Linked DNA regions of Cricetulus griseus. The protein of the gene in region 2 purifies or fractionates together with the protein of the main gene of each other region. This does not show direct contact. Links are inferred from orthologs where the notes say so. Each region holds a gene or a part of one and is shown on either strand. Other genes may lie near its edges. The genes, in order: Cep170, Wdr62 and Mapk8.

The links.
Region 1: the proteins of Wdr62 (region 2) and Cep170 purify together in Homo sapiens (affinity purification with mass spectrometry; 3 studies listed by BioGRID and IntAct, with this or other methods). This does not show direct contact. The link is inferred for Cricetulus griseus from reciprocal best matches to the Homo sapiens genes WDR62 and CEP170.
Region 3: the proteins of Wdr62 (region 2) and Mapk8 purify together in Homo sapiens (affinity purification with mass spectrometry; 5 studies listed by BioGRID and IntAct, counting the BioPlex papers as one, with this or other methods). This does not show direct contact. The link is inferred for Cricetulus griseus from reciprocal best matches to the Homo sapiens genes WDR62 and MAPK8.

Annotation. Positions count from the first base shown.
Region 1 is NC_048598.1:17,007,171-17,012,741, reverse strand, and holds part of Cep170 (centrosomal protein of 170 kDa), read right to left. Parts: intron 4,747-5,571; coding exon 4,688-4,746; intron 4,602-4,687; coding exon 4,442-4,601; intron 2,883-4,441; coding exon 2,748-2,882; intron 1-2,747.
Region 2 is NC_048602.1:5,584,503-5,588,824, reverse strand, and holds the end of Wdr62 (WD repeat-containing protein 62), read right to left. Parts: intron 4,293-4,322; coding exon 4,178-4,292; intron 4,074-4,177; coding exon 3,976-4,073; coding exon of another isoform or gene 3,944-3,975; intron 3,679-3,943; coding exon 2,998-3,678; intron 2,448-2,997; coding exon 2,302-2,447; intron 2,211-2,301; coding exon 1,947-2,210; 3' UTR 1,865-1,946; downstream 1-1,864. UniProt on the Homo sapiens protein: Required for cerebral cortical development. Plays a role in neuronal proliferation and migration.
Region 3 is NW_023276807.1:185,962,834-185,969,081, reverse strand, and holds the start of Mapk8 (mitogen-activated protein kinase 8), read right to left. Parts: upstream 3,494-6,248; 5' UTR 3,343-3,493; intron 1-3,342. UniProt on the Homo sapiens protein: Serine/threonine-protein kinase involved in various processes such as cell proliferation, differentiation, migration, transformation and programmed cell death.

The DNA.
Region 1 (5,571 bases), on a different chromosome or scaffold from region 2:
AAATTAAACTACATGGGATAGTATTGTTTATACTAATATTTTATAATTAATTTAAAGAGCAATTTAGTAACTAAGCTAGAACTGAATTTGTATGCCTAAACTGGACAATATTAACAGATACATATATATATATATATATATATGTGTGTGTGTGTGTGTGTGTGTGTGTGTGTGTGTGTATACACATACATGTATCTGATATATTTGTTTATTTATTTTGAGATAGGTCTTTAGTAGCCCAGTTTGGCTTTGTTTATTTATATGTGAGACAGGGTCTTAATCTGTAGAAGCCTTCATTGGCTTGTGGCGATGGTCAGAAGTGAATTCTGTCAAAGAGTTACTTTCAGTGGTGTACTGTTATCAAATTCAATGGTAAATGAAGCATGTACTACACCTGCTGTATGGGAATTTGATGTGTCTATTTTTGGAATCTCATGAATAGTGCTCTCTTCAGTAAGTAAGTTAGTATCACTCTGTGTCTCAATTCTTTTATCTATAAAATGGGCAAAAATAACAAAGGTAACTACTACCTTTAGACATTGTCATGATGAAATGTATATAAATCATTTGGAAGAAGCAGACAAACTAAGTGCAACTGAATGCTTGCCATTATTTGTCATGGTTCTACTCTTTATCATAGTCATATGTATGTGTCATTTTATTTTACAAGTTATGTATGTCAGAATTTCAAAACTGTGTGAGGGAACAAATGCTACATTTTTATGGCTCCTTAATTTCCACTATCATGCAATTATTTTCTGAATTTTGCAACAATTAAATTAATCTGTGTTCTTTAATGCATCTAATTGGTTATACTCCCCCTAACCAGATAGTTCTCTCTAGTGCAAAATGAGGTTAGAATATATGGTACTTGAAGTAAGGAATTTAGAGTTCAGTGATGAAGTTTTAGACAAAGACAATTAACCAAAGCAGTATTGTTCACTAGCAGTATAGTATCATTTAGTAATTTACAATGCACATACTGTGGGAGAAGAGGAGGCAGGAATTAGCACAATTTATGTGGGGGTACATTGGGAGAGAACACTAAAACAGTAACAGATATCAGGTGCACTAGGGAACAAAAAGTTCAAAATTTTGTCAAGCAAGACAAAATCACTCTAGTTGTTGTGGAACTAAAATAAAGATCAGTTCACATTTGCTATGGAAAGTTTACAGCAATAAGTTGAATTATGATTCATCAGTGAAAACAAAGACAACAAAATAGGTTTTATATTAGATAAAATGAAGACCATAAAAAGTAGACATTCTTGATTGACGTCCAGTTTCCTTCCTAAAGAACTTTTTCCTAAAAGAACTTCAATACTTTCTGGTACCACTCTTCTATGACACTGCTTATATGCCTTAGGGACAAATAACTCCATATCATGCTTCAAGATGAGCAAGATAATGATAGTCTCACATTGTTTGCCAGAGACTGGTTAGAATAGCAGGTGACCTTCTTTAATCTGTGAGAAGCTAATGAGAGATCTGCTGAAGATTTTGGGAGAGGTCTTCTTCCAAATACTGGGAGGTCTTCTTATACAACTTTTGTTCTTTACTTCTGGGTGTGATCAAAACTGTATAACTTTGAATACTGATGGCAGCAGCTTTGAATGTGAGGGGTAACTCTATCAGTATGTATGTACTGTGGATACCAAATCAGAGATGGTGAAACTAGATAACAATGCTATCTATTGCACTGAACAACCCTGAGAGAAATCAGGTATGGGAGCCAAGACATTCCTTTCCTACTCAGTATCAGACAGCAATTCTTTCATTTACAACAGAAGGCATGTTAAATAATATTAAATGATATAAAGAACAGCACTGGTGAAGAAACAAATTTGTGATGGAAAGCTATTTTCAAATTTGGCATCCTAAGTACTACTTGATCATGACAGCTTTTTAAAGACTTGTACTCTGGTGTAATTAGACTGTGTCAAAAGACACAATGTTCATAACTCTCCAGCTAAGAAAACTGTCCTGCTTACTTTGTATAAATGAAGTCAAAAACACCTTGAAAGAGTTCTAATGGGGTTTGTCCTTGCCTCAGTGGCACACTATGTCTTCAAAACTGATCTTTGGTGTCTGTACTTTATTCCTCCAGTTTTGGATCCTTATCTGCTGTTAACAAAGAAATTGGTTGTTCCATCCTTCAGTTCTGATGTCTTTTCAACAACTTTATGCGACAATTGGTATCTCCATTTATCTTGGAAATCTTGACTTTTCTGGACACTGGTCACCACTTAACCACCCAAGTTCCTTAGTTAATAATATAAGAATCTATTTCTACACTTTGGCTGCCGAACTCTGCATCATATTGCTATCTTAATAAAGTAAGCATGCTGGGGCTTTAAAGAACTTATAATTTCATATTGTATTTTTTAATACAACAGATTTTTTATTTTGTAGTATATGATTATGAATCAAGTAAAGACATGTAACTCACATGTCCCTACTACTTTATCAATTCATTTGCATATTTTAAAATGCTTAAATGTCCAGTGTGTGGCATTAATCTGTTTAACAATTTCATAAGCTGGAAAAATATGATGAGATTTTTATAAGGATACCATATTTAGTATTTTATGTTAAACTCATAATATATTACAAGAGCAAAGCCACAATCACCTTTAAAAAAATCAAGTTATGTTATAGATCATTTTTCAGAGTAGACTGACTTTTGTTTGGAATATAAATACTTGCCCAGTATGAATTTGATATCATAGCTATTGAAGTATTTTTACCTGAAGTCCCAGTTTCATGATTTTTTTCTTCAGGCTTGCCATTAGATTTGAAAGCTCTTTGTTCATCTACCTCATCATCTCCCCACCATGATGGCTGCCCATATAATGGAGTACCACGGGGCATAGCAGAAACATCTAAAAGAGAAGGGAGGAAAATCTCTCTAAAGCAGATGAAGCAAGAAAACATATTTTGCATAGTGCTAGATTTACTTAGTTGATTAAAAGTACTTTACTTTTAGTAACGTAACATTTGAGCATGACCTTACGCAGCTCTAGACACCATTAAGTGAATTAAGATCAGCAATGATTGAGTAATGCAACATGCTATAATCAACAGCTTTTTATTACATGTTAGGGACTTCTGATATATACCTGAGCCCCGGGAACAAATGATCTTTGAGTACTTAGACAGAAGTATCTTAGGTGGAAGAATTTTGTTAGAATTACCAAAAGAATAATGAAACCAGTCTGACCAGAAATGTCACTAAATCTAAATACATAAAAGATAAAACTAAAGCAAATACTGGCATGTACAACAACATAAGAGTATTGAACAGTAACTATATTTGTACTCAGTGCTAACAGATCTTCAGTTCTAGTAGCTGTGATACTGTTTATCAATTTAATACATTTGTTACATGAAGGGATTATCTATATAAAACATCTTTGTAGTTATTAAAACTGTAAGCATTATATGATATGAGGGTGGTAATTAAATTTTTCCATTTTATTTCAATTGTAATTCAGAGAAACATAGATAATATGAAATGCTAAACTATTAAATATCCTTCAAATATTGAAATCACTTTCCTTAATAATTAAGATATTGGTTGCACATACATATAGTTCTGTCAATGTTTTCTAGGAAAAACAGGCTATATTGAAATGTGCTCTGGGATGGATCACTAGTATAATTATTTTTATGCAGGTATAGACACATGTTTGAGAACAAAGAATGCAATTTCTTCAACCCCAAACATAAATTCAGAATTTCCAAAGGAATTAGCTTATTGTAATGTATATCATAGTGACAACAATCGTGTTGTTATTGTAATGTATATAATTATTGACAAACTATCAGGTGCTGTTTGAGGTCATTGAGAAGCTAGTTCTGGAAGTGAGGTAGACACATCCCCCACTTTAGATCCCAAGCAGTTTGTCTCAAAGTGTCCTCCAAGGTCTGGGGATGAGCTAGTCCACCTAACTCTGACAGGGAGGGAGACAAAAACAAAAGAGCCCCAAAGTAAAACATGGTGTCCTTGAAAACAGCTAAAATGTAAACTATTTCCATCAGAGGTTATTGTTGTTTATCCTATAATATGAAAGTGTCTACAGAGGAAGAGAGGAGCTGGAAACATAGCTCTGGGAAGCTACATTTGAGAACTGCAGCTAACTGCCTCAGTTTCCTCAGTTAGTTACTACTGGATGTTGTGAGCAACCTATTAGATGATACTACCTTTCTGTAGGTTAGTTGCTGTGGTTACTTGGAAGCCTCACATCAAGTGACAGTCTATTCTGCCTGGGACTTTGTACTGGGAACTCCAACTGCTTTAAAGGTGCTTCCACAGTTAACCAACTGTGAGTACCCAACTTGATATTTTCCTTTTGTGCTTCCTCTCTTCCTCCCCTCCCTCTGAATACAAAGATAGATATAGCTATTGTAGGTCATTCTCCATAGCATACAAAGCACTTACCCATGGATTTCTCCTCAGATTTCAGTGCTTCTGTGGCTCTGTGTGGCACTTCTGTAGTAGCATCCACTTTTGAGTCTGTGCCTTTAGCACTTGCTGATTTTGGTAATTCTGATTCTGAAGACTTCTGAGACAACTGAAGCTGAATGGTAAACTTCTCATGCTATAAAACATTTAAAATCAAAGGGAAGCTTCGATAAAGGAGTCAACTGTAGTGAGTAATAGTCAACCACAAGGGTAAACTCTTACCTTAAGAGCCTCTTCAGGGACCCTCATTTCTCCTCGAACTACAGTGAAGAGATTTGTATGTAAACAGAGCTAAGGAAGAATATAACTCCAAAATTTTGGTTACTGTGCTTGAATATGGTCATCAAATATAATTTGGAGATTGTTCTATTTCAAGAGTAAATATAGGATTATTATGTTTATTTATCATCGATTTCTACAGGTACTGGGGATTAAATCCAGGACTTTGCATATGCTAGACAAGTTTTCTACCGCTGAACCACATCCTAAGATTTAAAAGAAATTTTTCTTACAGACAAGATCTCTAGGCTATCCTCAAATCTGAGATTTTTTTTTTAAATCTGAGATTCTTCTGGCAGCTCACTGAGTACCTGGAATGCAGCATGCGTCTATAATACTCCCTTTAATATTAAAAAATATTTAAAATATGTAATTTGCCACTTAAAAATATTAACAACTTAAAAAATCTAATAAGTATTTATAATCTCAGGCAATACTAGCCTTCAAATAATTAGAGCACAAATATTTTTATTTTCACAAACAACAATATGACAGGACCAAATTATAGATTCCTAGTCATAAAGGTGTAAAAATGTCTCATGAGTTAATACCAAAAGCAAATCCTGAAGGAACTGATTATCAGATTTTTATCAACTTTGATAATAATGAGGTTCACTTTGTAAGTACAAAGAAAATGAATGCTATAATAAGGGTTTATATGGCAACCATACCACCCCTTCCCACCATGGACTGCAATAAGGTCATATTATATTATAAAACAATGATTCTATACACATGAGAACAAGTGCCAGATATAATGAAGGCTTTCATTATTATGCCAAAACAACAAGGCCTCTTACTAAAGATCAATTCACTAGAGGTCCTGT
Region 2 (4,322 bases):
GAAGGTGCATGTCAGTGCAAGCGCCTGCGGTGACCAGAGGCATCGGATCCATGGAGCCGGAGTTACCAGTGCTTGTGAACAGGTGTGGGTGTTGATAATGAAATTGGCATCTTCCGAAAGAGCAGTTAACCATGGAGCCAATGCTTCAACCTGTTTTTTGTTGCTTTTCCGCTGATGCAATCCAGGCTGGTGTCAAACTTATGTAGCTGAAGCTGGCCTTGAACTCCTGATTCTCCAGTCTCCCCCTCCCAAGTGCCGACTAACAGAATTACAGGTGTGTAATTTGGCAGTTGGGTCTGGGCAGGCTCTGAGTTTCAGCTGACTTGGCTGAGAAATGGGGCTGAAGTGGCTCCATGTCACACCGACAGGACTTCATAATGATTGGTGTCCCTTGTGTAGGTTGATGTCTCACTGCCTAGGAACTGCCCTGATATCGGGGGAGCCAAGTGTGGGCCCATAGTGGTGGCAAAGGCTGGGCTGCCACACTAACGGGGGAGAGCTATCTGCTCAGGGGCCCTATGTCCACAGCTGGCTCCGTTGTTGCTAGGAGACAGAGTCAAGCTGCTGTCTGTACAGCACTACCCTTCAGGTCCAGCAAGGCTGGTTTTTTTTTCCCCCCAAGATTTATTTATAATGTGTACAGTGTTCTGCCTGCACGTATCCCTGCAGGCCAGAAGAGGGCACCAGATCTCACTACAGAGGGTTGTGAGCCACCATGTGGTCGCTGGGAATTGAACTCAGGACCTCTGGAAGAGCAGCCAGTGCTCTTAACCTCTGAGCCATCTCTCCAGCCCAACAAGACTGTTTCTTTGAGACAGGGTTTCTCTGTGTGTAGCCCTGGCTGTCCTGGAACTCGCTCTGTAGACCAGGCTGGCAATGAACTCACAGAGACCCACCTGCTTCTGCCTCCCGAGTGCTGGGACTAAAGACCCATGCTACTACTGCCTGGCTGTTCTCCTCTTAATCAGAGCTACTGTGACTATCCACAAGGGGCCTTCCTTTATAAGAGTGGATGGGTTGGAGCTGGGTGATGGCCCTGGCCTTTAGGAGACCCCTCTGCTGGGTTCCTTTTTACAGGGACTTGGGACAGGATGAGTGAGGTCTGGAGTGGCCTTCTTAGGAAGGTTCTATGTCTGCAGTTGGCTCATGGGATGAAGCTGGATACAGTTCTTTCAGATGAAGGCATCACAGGGCCCAGCAACTAGGTGGCTTGGGGCTGCTGCAGATTCTTCAATGGTATTTGTCTCCTACTGCCCCTGCTGCAGATGTGACAATGACAACCCAGACCCCGCCGGATCCAGTGTGAATTTAGCCTAGGGCCATCAGCCAGGAGTGTATGTACTGAGGACAGGGTCAGACCCGTGATGACCCCAGCGGCTCCACTGGGTTTGAAAGCACCTGTAGGGTCAGGAAGGCTAGCTCCTACTGGGTGGTGGTGGCACACGACTTTGATCCCAGCACTGGGGAGGCAGAGGCAGGGGGATGTCTGTGAGTTCAAGGCCAGCGTGGTCTACAGAGTGAGTTCCAGGACAGAGAAACCCTGTCTTGAAAAAAACAAAAACAAAAACAAAAAGCAAGCAAACAAGCATAGAATCCTAGCTCCTCCTAAGGATGGGCTCCAATGGGCAGAGAGCACACATGACCCCTGCAATAGCTCAGTATGCTAGGGACAGGCTACATGGGATGCCAGGCCTGGCATTCATCATTCCTGTTAGTCCCATGTTCCCTGCTGGCAGGTGCACAGAACAGGGCCTAGAGCTGAAGCAAAGCCGAGTCTCCAGGCTGGTTCATCCATGCGGACCCTTTACCCCCCCTCTCTCTGCATCCACTGAGGAGGGCTTTACAGACAGGACAGGTTCCAGAAAACTATTTAATTTAGTCAGTTTATTTGCTTTAAAATCAATCTCTGCTGAGCAGCGAGGCTTTGGTGGAGGGGCTGCCGGCTTTTAGTCGCCCCTTGCTTTCCTCTTCACAGCCTGCACCAGCAGCTCTGAGTAGTGTTCCAGCAGGGCCTGCAGGTTTGGGCTGGCCAGGAGACACAGTGTAGGTGAGGAAGGCAGGCCGGGGCTAGGCAGTGTCTGGGGTGGAGCCGTGTTAGCTGCAGCCATCCAGTTGCTGGCTTCCAGCTGGCTGTGGATCCACTGAAAGGCGGAGGCCAGCTCCGTCTGTGCCTGCTGCTGTTCGGCACCCAGCTGGTTGCTGGAGACCAACTGTAAGGGATGGCAAGCTTGTCAGGGGACATGCAGTACTGCCAGGGAGCCCTGCCCATTCTCCCGCACTGCCCTGGGCTCCTTAGCTTACCATTCGGTAAAGGTCAAGGGCTTCTTGGAAGACAGCCTGCAGCCTGTGCGAGACTGATCTTATACTGCCCAGCTCAAGGAGTGCTGGGGGCAGGACCTCAGCTGGGAGCCCAGGCTCCCCACAGTGTCCAGGGCTGCCCGGCATATCTGGGGGTAGAGAAGAGTGAATGACCAAGATAGTTTGACTTTCTGGATGGCTTGAGAGAGGCCAGGTGGCTGGGCTAATGACTGTTGGCCCTGGACCACTTTCTTCAGTCCCCAAGGCCTCTCTTCCTCACAGGGTTCTGCTGGATAGAAACTTCTCCTTAAATCATGTTGTTGCCATCCTAAAATTGAAGCTACACTGCTCTCCCCGCCCCTTTCCCCCTGCCTTATTTCTCTCAGTAACTTGTATCACCTTGTGATACGTCTGACACTTTGGTCTGGGTATCTCCCCTAGCGTAGGAATCAACTCTCTCGTTTGTCCTCTTGTTTGTCACCATGTCTCATGTGCCCAGGACCTAGAACAAAGCCCAGCATGTGCTCATTAACTATGTGAATGAATGAACGAATGGATGAATGAGTGAATGAATGAATGAGTGAATGAATAACACAGTCCCTCTTGTGGCTAGGGTGAGCGTCCTACTTGGCAGAGGAGTCGAGCGGCACAGGGGACAGGCTAGGGCTCTCTCTATCCGTGTCCCATGGTAGTACTCACCAGGGGTGGGCTCCAGGAGAGCAGCGGTACTACTAGGCACCCTAGACCTGGTCTCTAGAAGTTGGAGGCTGTTGGGATGGCCAGGAGGGATGAGGGGCCCAGAGGCTGAGGTCCTTGGGAGAAACACAGAGCTGTGGAGTCTTGGGGTGCTAGCATCTACAGGGCTGGGTGCTGGGAAGCTGGCTACTGTGGCTGTCACACCAGGCTGGACATCCACAGAGTCCTGAGACCACACACATGTGATGGGTGGCTCCAGTGGGGGTGAAGACAGGAGCTGGCCACAGACACTGGATAAGGGCAGTTTGAGGCTGGCTCGGGCCTCATGATTGCCCCAGGAAGGCATGGCAGGATCCTGGCCTTCGATGCTAGAAGTGAGAGTCACTATGGTGGGGATGGCCTGGGGTTCCTGGCCCAGGGAAGCCAGTTCTCCCATGGATAAGGGTTTGTGAAGTGACCTGGATGGCTCAGGTGTCACAAGGCCCTCACTGTCCCCAAGAGACATGCTACGTGATATCTTGGCATGTGAGCTAGTCGTCGTCTCCAGGTAAGAACATGTAGACGGGGCACAGACACTCTGATCCAGGCCTGTGATAGGTACAGATGTGGGTGTTGGAGGCTTCCTGTCTGTGGGTGGCACCGAGGAGGAAGAGACACAGAAGGCCAGGCCTGTGAGGGAAGGAGCTGCAAAGGAAGCAGATGGCTCACTTGTACACGAGTCTCAGAGCCCTGCCCTAGGAATGCTTCACCATCTGAACGGACAATTCCATGGCTCAGCTGGACACCCAGGGCTGTTCATCTCGGATTGGAGACATTTACTTGGTAGATACAAGGCCTCTGGAGGCTCCTCAGCCTTCTGCCCAGAGAGGACCTCCAAGCCCAGCTCTGTGGTAAAGACAAGGCCTCCTGGCTTGCAGCCCTGGGTCCTAGGCGTGACCTCAATACTCACATTGGTCCCATCTGAGGACATGTAGCCAGTACCTGCTCTCAGGGACCCTGCTCTGGACTGGCCGCATCCTTGTCCTGTAGGCTTGACCTCTGGAGACTTCCTAAGGTGAAGGGGCAGCCGGGGAGGGAAGCTGGGGAAGAAGCCAGGTGGAAAAGAGAAGTTCACATAGCCTGACCCGAGGGTCACGGAGGGGCGTGGCTGAGGAAAGGGAAATTGGGGGTCACTGGCTTCTACCTGGAGGCCTTCTGGAGTCGTGAGAGAAACTGGGTGGAGATGCTCAGCCGGGGATTGAAGAGATGGTGGTCAGCCTCTGAGATCTTCATGTCTGCCACTGATCCATGAAAGAGCTCTAGGAAGACCAATGGAGCCTCAGGCCTGC
Region 3 (6,248 bases), on a different chromosome or scaffold from region 2:
CAGGCTCATACTTGCTAATGACAAAGTAACAAGGAACATGAGTATGATTCCTGGACTGTTTTATTCCAGGAATTTATGACAGGGTGACTCACTTCGGTACTCCTGTCACATTTTAGTAAATTCTGAATCCCGACTCTTTTCTAAACCTAAAGCTCAGGAGAGCCACATCAGGGTAAGAATGTACAGCTCCTGGATGTTCAGGTAGTGACTGGGTCTGAGACAAGCATCACAGTTCAAACAGGCAAGTGATTCATGTGTAAAGCTCCAGGGTTGTGACTCCCTTGCCCTACATGAATCAGAAAGGTCCATACTACTGACTCTATCAGTCTTCTAGAGGACAGGAACCTTAATCAGACTAATATTATACTTCTACACCTGCAGCAAAGCATCTCAAATATGGAGATGACTCAAATCTGTCACCTGACAGGCAAAGCACGGCAACAAGAAGCTGGCTCCTATTTAGCAACCCCTCAATTACCACTAGGATGGTTTATGGCTAGCTATTAACAACAAATTACTGTTTCACTGGCCATCTAGTATCTTCTCCAGACCATTTCCATAATATCATTCATAGAACAAATAAGATTCTAATTGTATTCATTTTGGTAACAATTTATTCTTTAGCTTTTGTAGCCCAGACTGGCCTCAAACTCATCTTGTCTTGGCCTCTCAAGTCCTGGGATTACAGGCATGTATCACCACATATGGCTCAATTAACTCTTATACTAAATTTCCTTTCCAAGTAATTTCTCTAAGGATTAAAAGGAGCATGAAATATACAGTTTCCTAATATGCCACGACAGTTAAAGGGTACCCTTTTCATTAAAGGGACTTATTTATTAACAGAACCCATACTCTCTTCCTTTCAAACACCAGACTGCTTTTTTTTTTTTTTTAAGGGGGTTTTCTTTGTGGTACAATGATGCTCCAGAATGGTATAGTAGTGATCAATGCATAATTATGCAAGTAGACTAAACACCACTAAAAAATACTCTATGAGAGCCACTCTTTATGTGAATTAAATCTCAAGAAAGCTGTTTAAACAACAGAATTTAGAAGACAACCTAACTGAATTTATGCAGAGTCTGTCTGTGTGTGAGCCACTCAAATGATTTCTTAATTCCAGAGTCCCTTCTGGAACCTCATACACTTAGCTAGGTAAAGCAATAAAAGTTTGGTGCCCCAAGGTCTATCACTCAGAGTAATAGAATAATTTCCTTATTTTTCCATTCTTATTCTACAGTAAATAAGTTCATCTGAATGACTTTTCATATCGAAAAGAAATATTTTTTAAATAGTGGAAACGTGCCAAAACTTGGATAAATTCATAGTATTTTGCATTTTAAACCCATATGCTCTGTGAGATAGATAAGTACAAGCTAAAACCTGACCTTTCCAGTAAGCAACTCTAAAACATTAACCAGCTCTAGACTATTAGAAATAAAATATCTGTAAAACACATGTGGGTGTTGTGCTTTTCTACTCAAAGAAATCATAAAAACTTGTGAAATAATAGTGGGAAAAGATACATTCCCTAAAAGTCTGGGAATCTGGGTTTGATGTCTAGAACCCACTTAAAGGTAAAAGAAAATCAACCCCACAAAGTTGTCCTCTGGCTTCCACATGCACACAGAAGTATGTGTACCCCCTGCCCCAAAAAACACACCATGCACCCTAGATAGTAATTTTTTTTTTTTAGGGGAGAAAAATGAAATCATGTTAGATTCCTAATGAAACACCACTGTTAGGTCTGGGTTCATTCACACATCTGGCTGGAAAAAGCCCTTATCTAAAATATTGGAAGTGAACAAAGTACCCAACTTTGATGACAAAGTACCAAGTGAATGCCCCTTATCTGCAAAGGACTGTAAGTGTTTCAGATTTTGGAGTATCTCCGACTTTCAAGTTATGGATGCTCAACTTTTACACACATACTTAACAGACCCCCCACCACACACACACACAACACAATTTTCTACTTTATTAATTATATGCAAAAAATTCAGGGGTGGTCTTAAAATAGTGAATGCCCTGGAAGTAAAGCATAAAAACAAAAACAGTGATCCCAAACCCTCTTTTATCTTAACAGGTAGTATCCTCTACTAATTTACGATGCAGCCAACTGAGAGTGATGCTTGACACTTCTCAAACTTCGGGGGTGGGGGTGGGATTTAAAGCTTCCAATTTTCCTCTATAAACTTTTTTTTTTAATCAACTCAACGTGTATGACTTCCATGCTAGGTGCTGGAGAAATGATGCAAGATAGGCATCGAAGTACCATTTTGAGTGCTTGCTTTCATCATACACAGCAGTAAACATGTTCACTCAGAGAACCTGACCTCCCAGGTCTAACAGCCTGAGGTAACCATTAACAACGACAAGAAATTAGGGGAGTGGTGGTAAGATTTAAGAATAATGGTGGTATATTTAAGCAAATCTAGCTCTTCTTCACATTACCTATCACATTACCTTCAGAAGTTCTAATAAAACGAGGCAAATACCTTACTTAACATATATCACTTATATAACAGTCTTATTTAAAGGCACATCTATTCTATTCCAAAGTACCCTATTCGTAAGGGTCTTTCTCTTGGCCTTCACATCCTCTCCATCTGGATACAGTACTAACAGCTGCTGAATGAATGAATGAAATAAACAGATGTTCTAACTGACCAAAAGGTACTTGGCGGATGCTCATCTCAAAACACAATAGGCTGACAGACCAGAATTCTACTGAAAAGACCACTTGATTTCAGAAGTAGAAATAGCAACTACTGGACACCGTGCAGTCAACATGTTATTAAATTGCCGGTGGTATAGGGAACTTTCGGGAATGAAAATGCAAGGTGTTCCTTACGGTACTTTAAAATGGACTTGGATCTACCGTGTCTGGACTGGGAATCCAGGCACAAGACAAAGAGACAGCGGTGGGGGAAAGTCAAAAGGTCAGCGCCAGGAGCCCCTCTGAAGGCGCGGCCCGCAGGCCGGCGCGCTCGCGGCCACCCGGCCCTTCACGGCGTCGCGGCACTCACGTCCGCACAAAGAAACCGCCCACAGTCAAAACACGCTCCCCGTGGGTGCGGGAGACCTATGTACGGTCGCGTCGGCCCGATCTCCGCGAGAGCACCTCCGAACTTGCCGCCCACCGGCTCCATTCTCCCCGCGCAACGTGGAAACCGGCCAGAGTGGAGAAGCCAGGTCGCGCCGAGTGGACCACGCCCCCCGCTGCCCCGCCGCCCGCGCTATTGTTCCCGCGCCGCCCCCGCCCCGCGCGCGTTCCCGGAGGGGGTCACGGCCGGGGGAAGGCGGCGGCCGCCCGGGCCGCGGAGCCCGCGCACTCACCCGGCAGCGCAGCCAATGGCGACCGGGAAGCCCGTAGCGGTGAGCGGCGCCGTCCCGCGGTGGCCGCGGCCGCTACTCAGCCCTGCTCGCGGCTCCGCGTTCCGGCCGCGACGTCCGGCCTCGGCCGCTCCGCTGACTAACAGAGACGCGGGTCGTCAACGCGCACGCCCGCCCACGTCATCGCGCAGGGCCCCGCCCCCGCGCCTGCGAGCGGCCTGGGGGCGGAGCGGCCCCGGGGGCCCGGATTGTGAAGGCGTGGCCCAGTGACCGGGGGCGTGGCTACATTGGAGAGCAGGCGGCACTCGCGGAGGTCGCCGCGGGCCGCAACTGGGAAAGCCGCGTGTGAGGGGCGTGGCCGGGAGCAGCAGGGGGCGGGGCTGCGACGGCACGTGGCGGCGCGTGGCGGCGAAACACCAGTCATAGCCTAAGCCTGCTGGGCTGCCAGCTTGTGGAGGGGCGTTAGTGTTTGAAGGTCAGGCACGCATGTCAGTGCACACACGTGAGCCACGGAGAATCCTACTTGGACAGCCACTCTTCCAAGGCCTACCACCCACCAATAAGAAAATGTTCTCCAGCTCCCTGGAAAAAGTTACCCCCCCAAAAAATAAATGCTCCAGATTCTTTGCATTACCTGATATACCTCCAAAGCCTCGTGTCTCCTGCAAATATTAGCTATGGACTGATTAACTGGCCAGCCTAACCACCCGACAATGGATGGAAAGGCATTTAAATTACTATTATTCATTCAGTAGAGTATATTTATCCCTTTAAAGACAATGTGTTTGTTCAAAGGCATTTTTACCAACCAGAGAAAGTAACTTATAAGAGAAGGGAGCAAGAAACACGTACACATAGAATGATTACACATATATAAAAAATACATTACATGCACAGTATATACAAAAAAACATGGAAAGGAACATGATAGGTGTTTTGACAGTGGTGAATAAAGGGCAGTCTCTCCTGTGTGGTATCCTATGATTTCCAAAAATATATAAATATTTATCAAATAAAGTCAGCTGGATTATTATGTTCCAATTACACGTTGAGATGCTCTGTTTGCAGTGATGTGGTCATAAGGCAAATGTGAGCATTCATCCATCCATCCTCTCCCCATTTCGTCTCTCTCAACAATTCTTTTATTTATTTATTTATTTATTTATTTATTTTTATTTTATGTTCACTGGTGTTTTTTGCCTGCATGTTTGTCATGTGAAGGTGTCAGGACTACTGGAGCTGGAGTTGCAGATAGTGGTGAACTGCCATGAGGGTGCTGGGAATTGAACCTGGGTCCTCAAGAAGAGCACCCAGTGCTCTTAACAACTGACTCATCACTCCACCCGCCTCACCAATTCTTTATTTCCATACTTCCTTTATTTCTCCAGTGACTATTTTATCACTTGCCCATTCTCTTAAAGGCAGTGTTCTAGCACTAGCAGCAATTAGATCTTTCATAACAGAGAATTTCTGTTATGAAAGTAATTATACAAAACGTAAAAGTATCAACGTATAATACAAATTAAAAGGATACATCAGACTATGAAAGGAACCAATATATCCATAAGACCAGGAATGTTTTCTCCAAGGAAGTGCCTGCTGAGTTGAGAATAGGTTTGACCAGGCAGAAATTTTTGTCAGAGTTAACTTGTTGTATGAAGGTCCTATGATGAGAGAGCAGAGTAACCTGAGGGAATTGAGGACAGACCAGCTATTTTGGAATAGCAAAGAAAAAGAAGTTACAAAATGAAAATGAGAAGACTGAGAAAAATTTTTGTTGAAAATGTTTTATTCCAAGTGTAATTGGAAGGCCCTGGTGTGTCTTCAGCAATGGATGGTATGATCATTCTGATATCAAGAAAGATTTCTTATTGCAAAGAGGCTTTTCTAGATTTTTCAAGATAGAACTCTTCCCCACCTACAATTCTTAGTAAAAACTTTCTTTTCTTCCAGAGTATGTATGCCATTTATAGTTCAAAAGGTGCTGCAAGACATTTGTGTGTCCCCCATGGCAGAGAAGACAGCGTTCTTTCCTTGACTTTTTCCTTTGGGTGACTTTAGGGAAGACCCTCTGTTGTCCCTTCCCCCATCTGGTCCCCTGGTACCCTTCTCCTTATCCTTAAGATGTCAAACTGATATTCATACCAGATGGGCAAGCGTTTATTCTGCCAATAACCCTTGACAGAGGGACCCCTGTGAATTTCCAACCTTTGTCAACTTTCTGTATTTTTTGTTTTGTTTTGTTTTTTCCAGACAGGGTTTCTCTGTATTGCTTTGTAGCCTGTCCTGTAACTCACTCTGTAGACCAGGCTGGCCTCGAACTCACAGAGTTCCTCCTGCCTTTGCCTCCCGAGTGCTGGTATTAAAGGAGGGCACCACCAAAGCCCAGCCAGCCAACCTTTGTCAAAAGTACTTCAATTAGAAGTTGAATTTGAAACTGCTCTTTCTGGTGCCATTAAGTAAAAGGAGATTCTAACATCACCCTGTTAAAGTGTCTTTGTGAGTGGCGGGATTTTGAGGCCCTAACAAGACTAATGCTTGTGCCTGCTGTTTCATTGCCAGGGGCCTATAATAAGACAGGATTTGTCTCACCTCCCTGACTCAGAGATGAGCCCGGAGGCCCTCTGATGCTAATGAAAAGCCACTGATCCTTCAGGAAATCAGAGGTTAGAAGGCAAATTGTTCTCTAGTACAGAGGGATAATCAAGACAGACAATGAACTATGTATTTCAAAAGAGCTAGCAGAGGGCATTTTGAATGTTCCTTCAGGAGGAAATGATAAAAGTTTGAGGAAATATTGTTACACCAAGCACCTTGATCTGATCACTCTAGGTTATATATATATATATATATATATATATATATATATATATATGTGAAATATCAGACTGAACTCTAGAAGTAGGTAC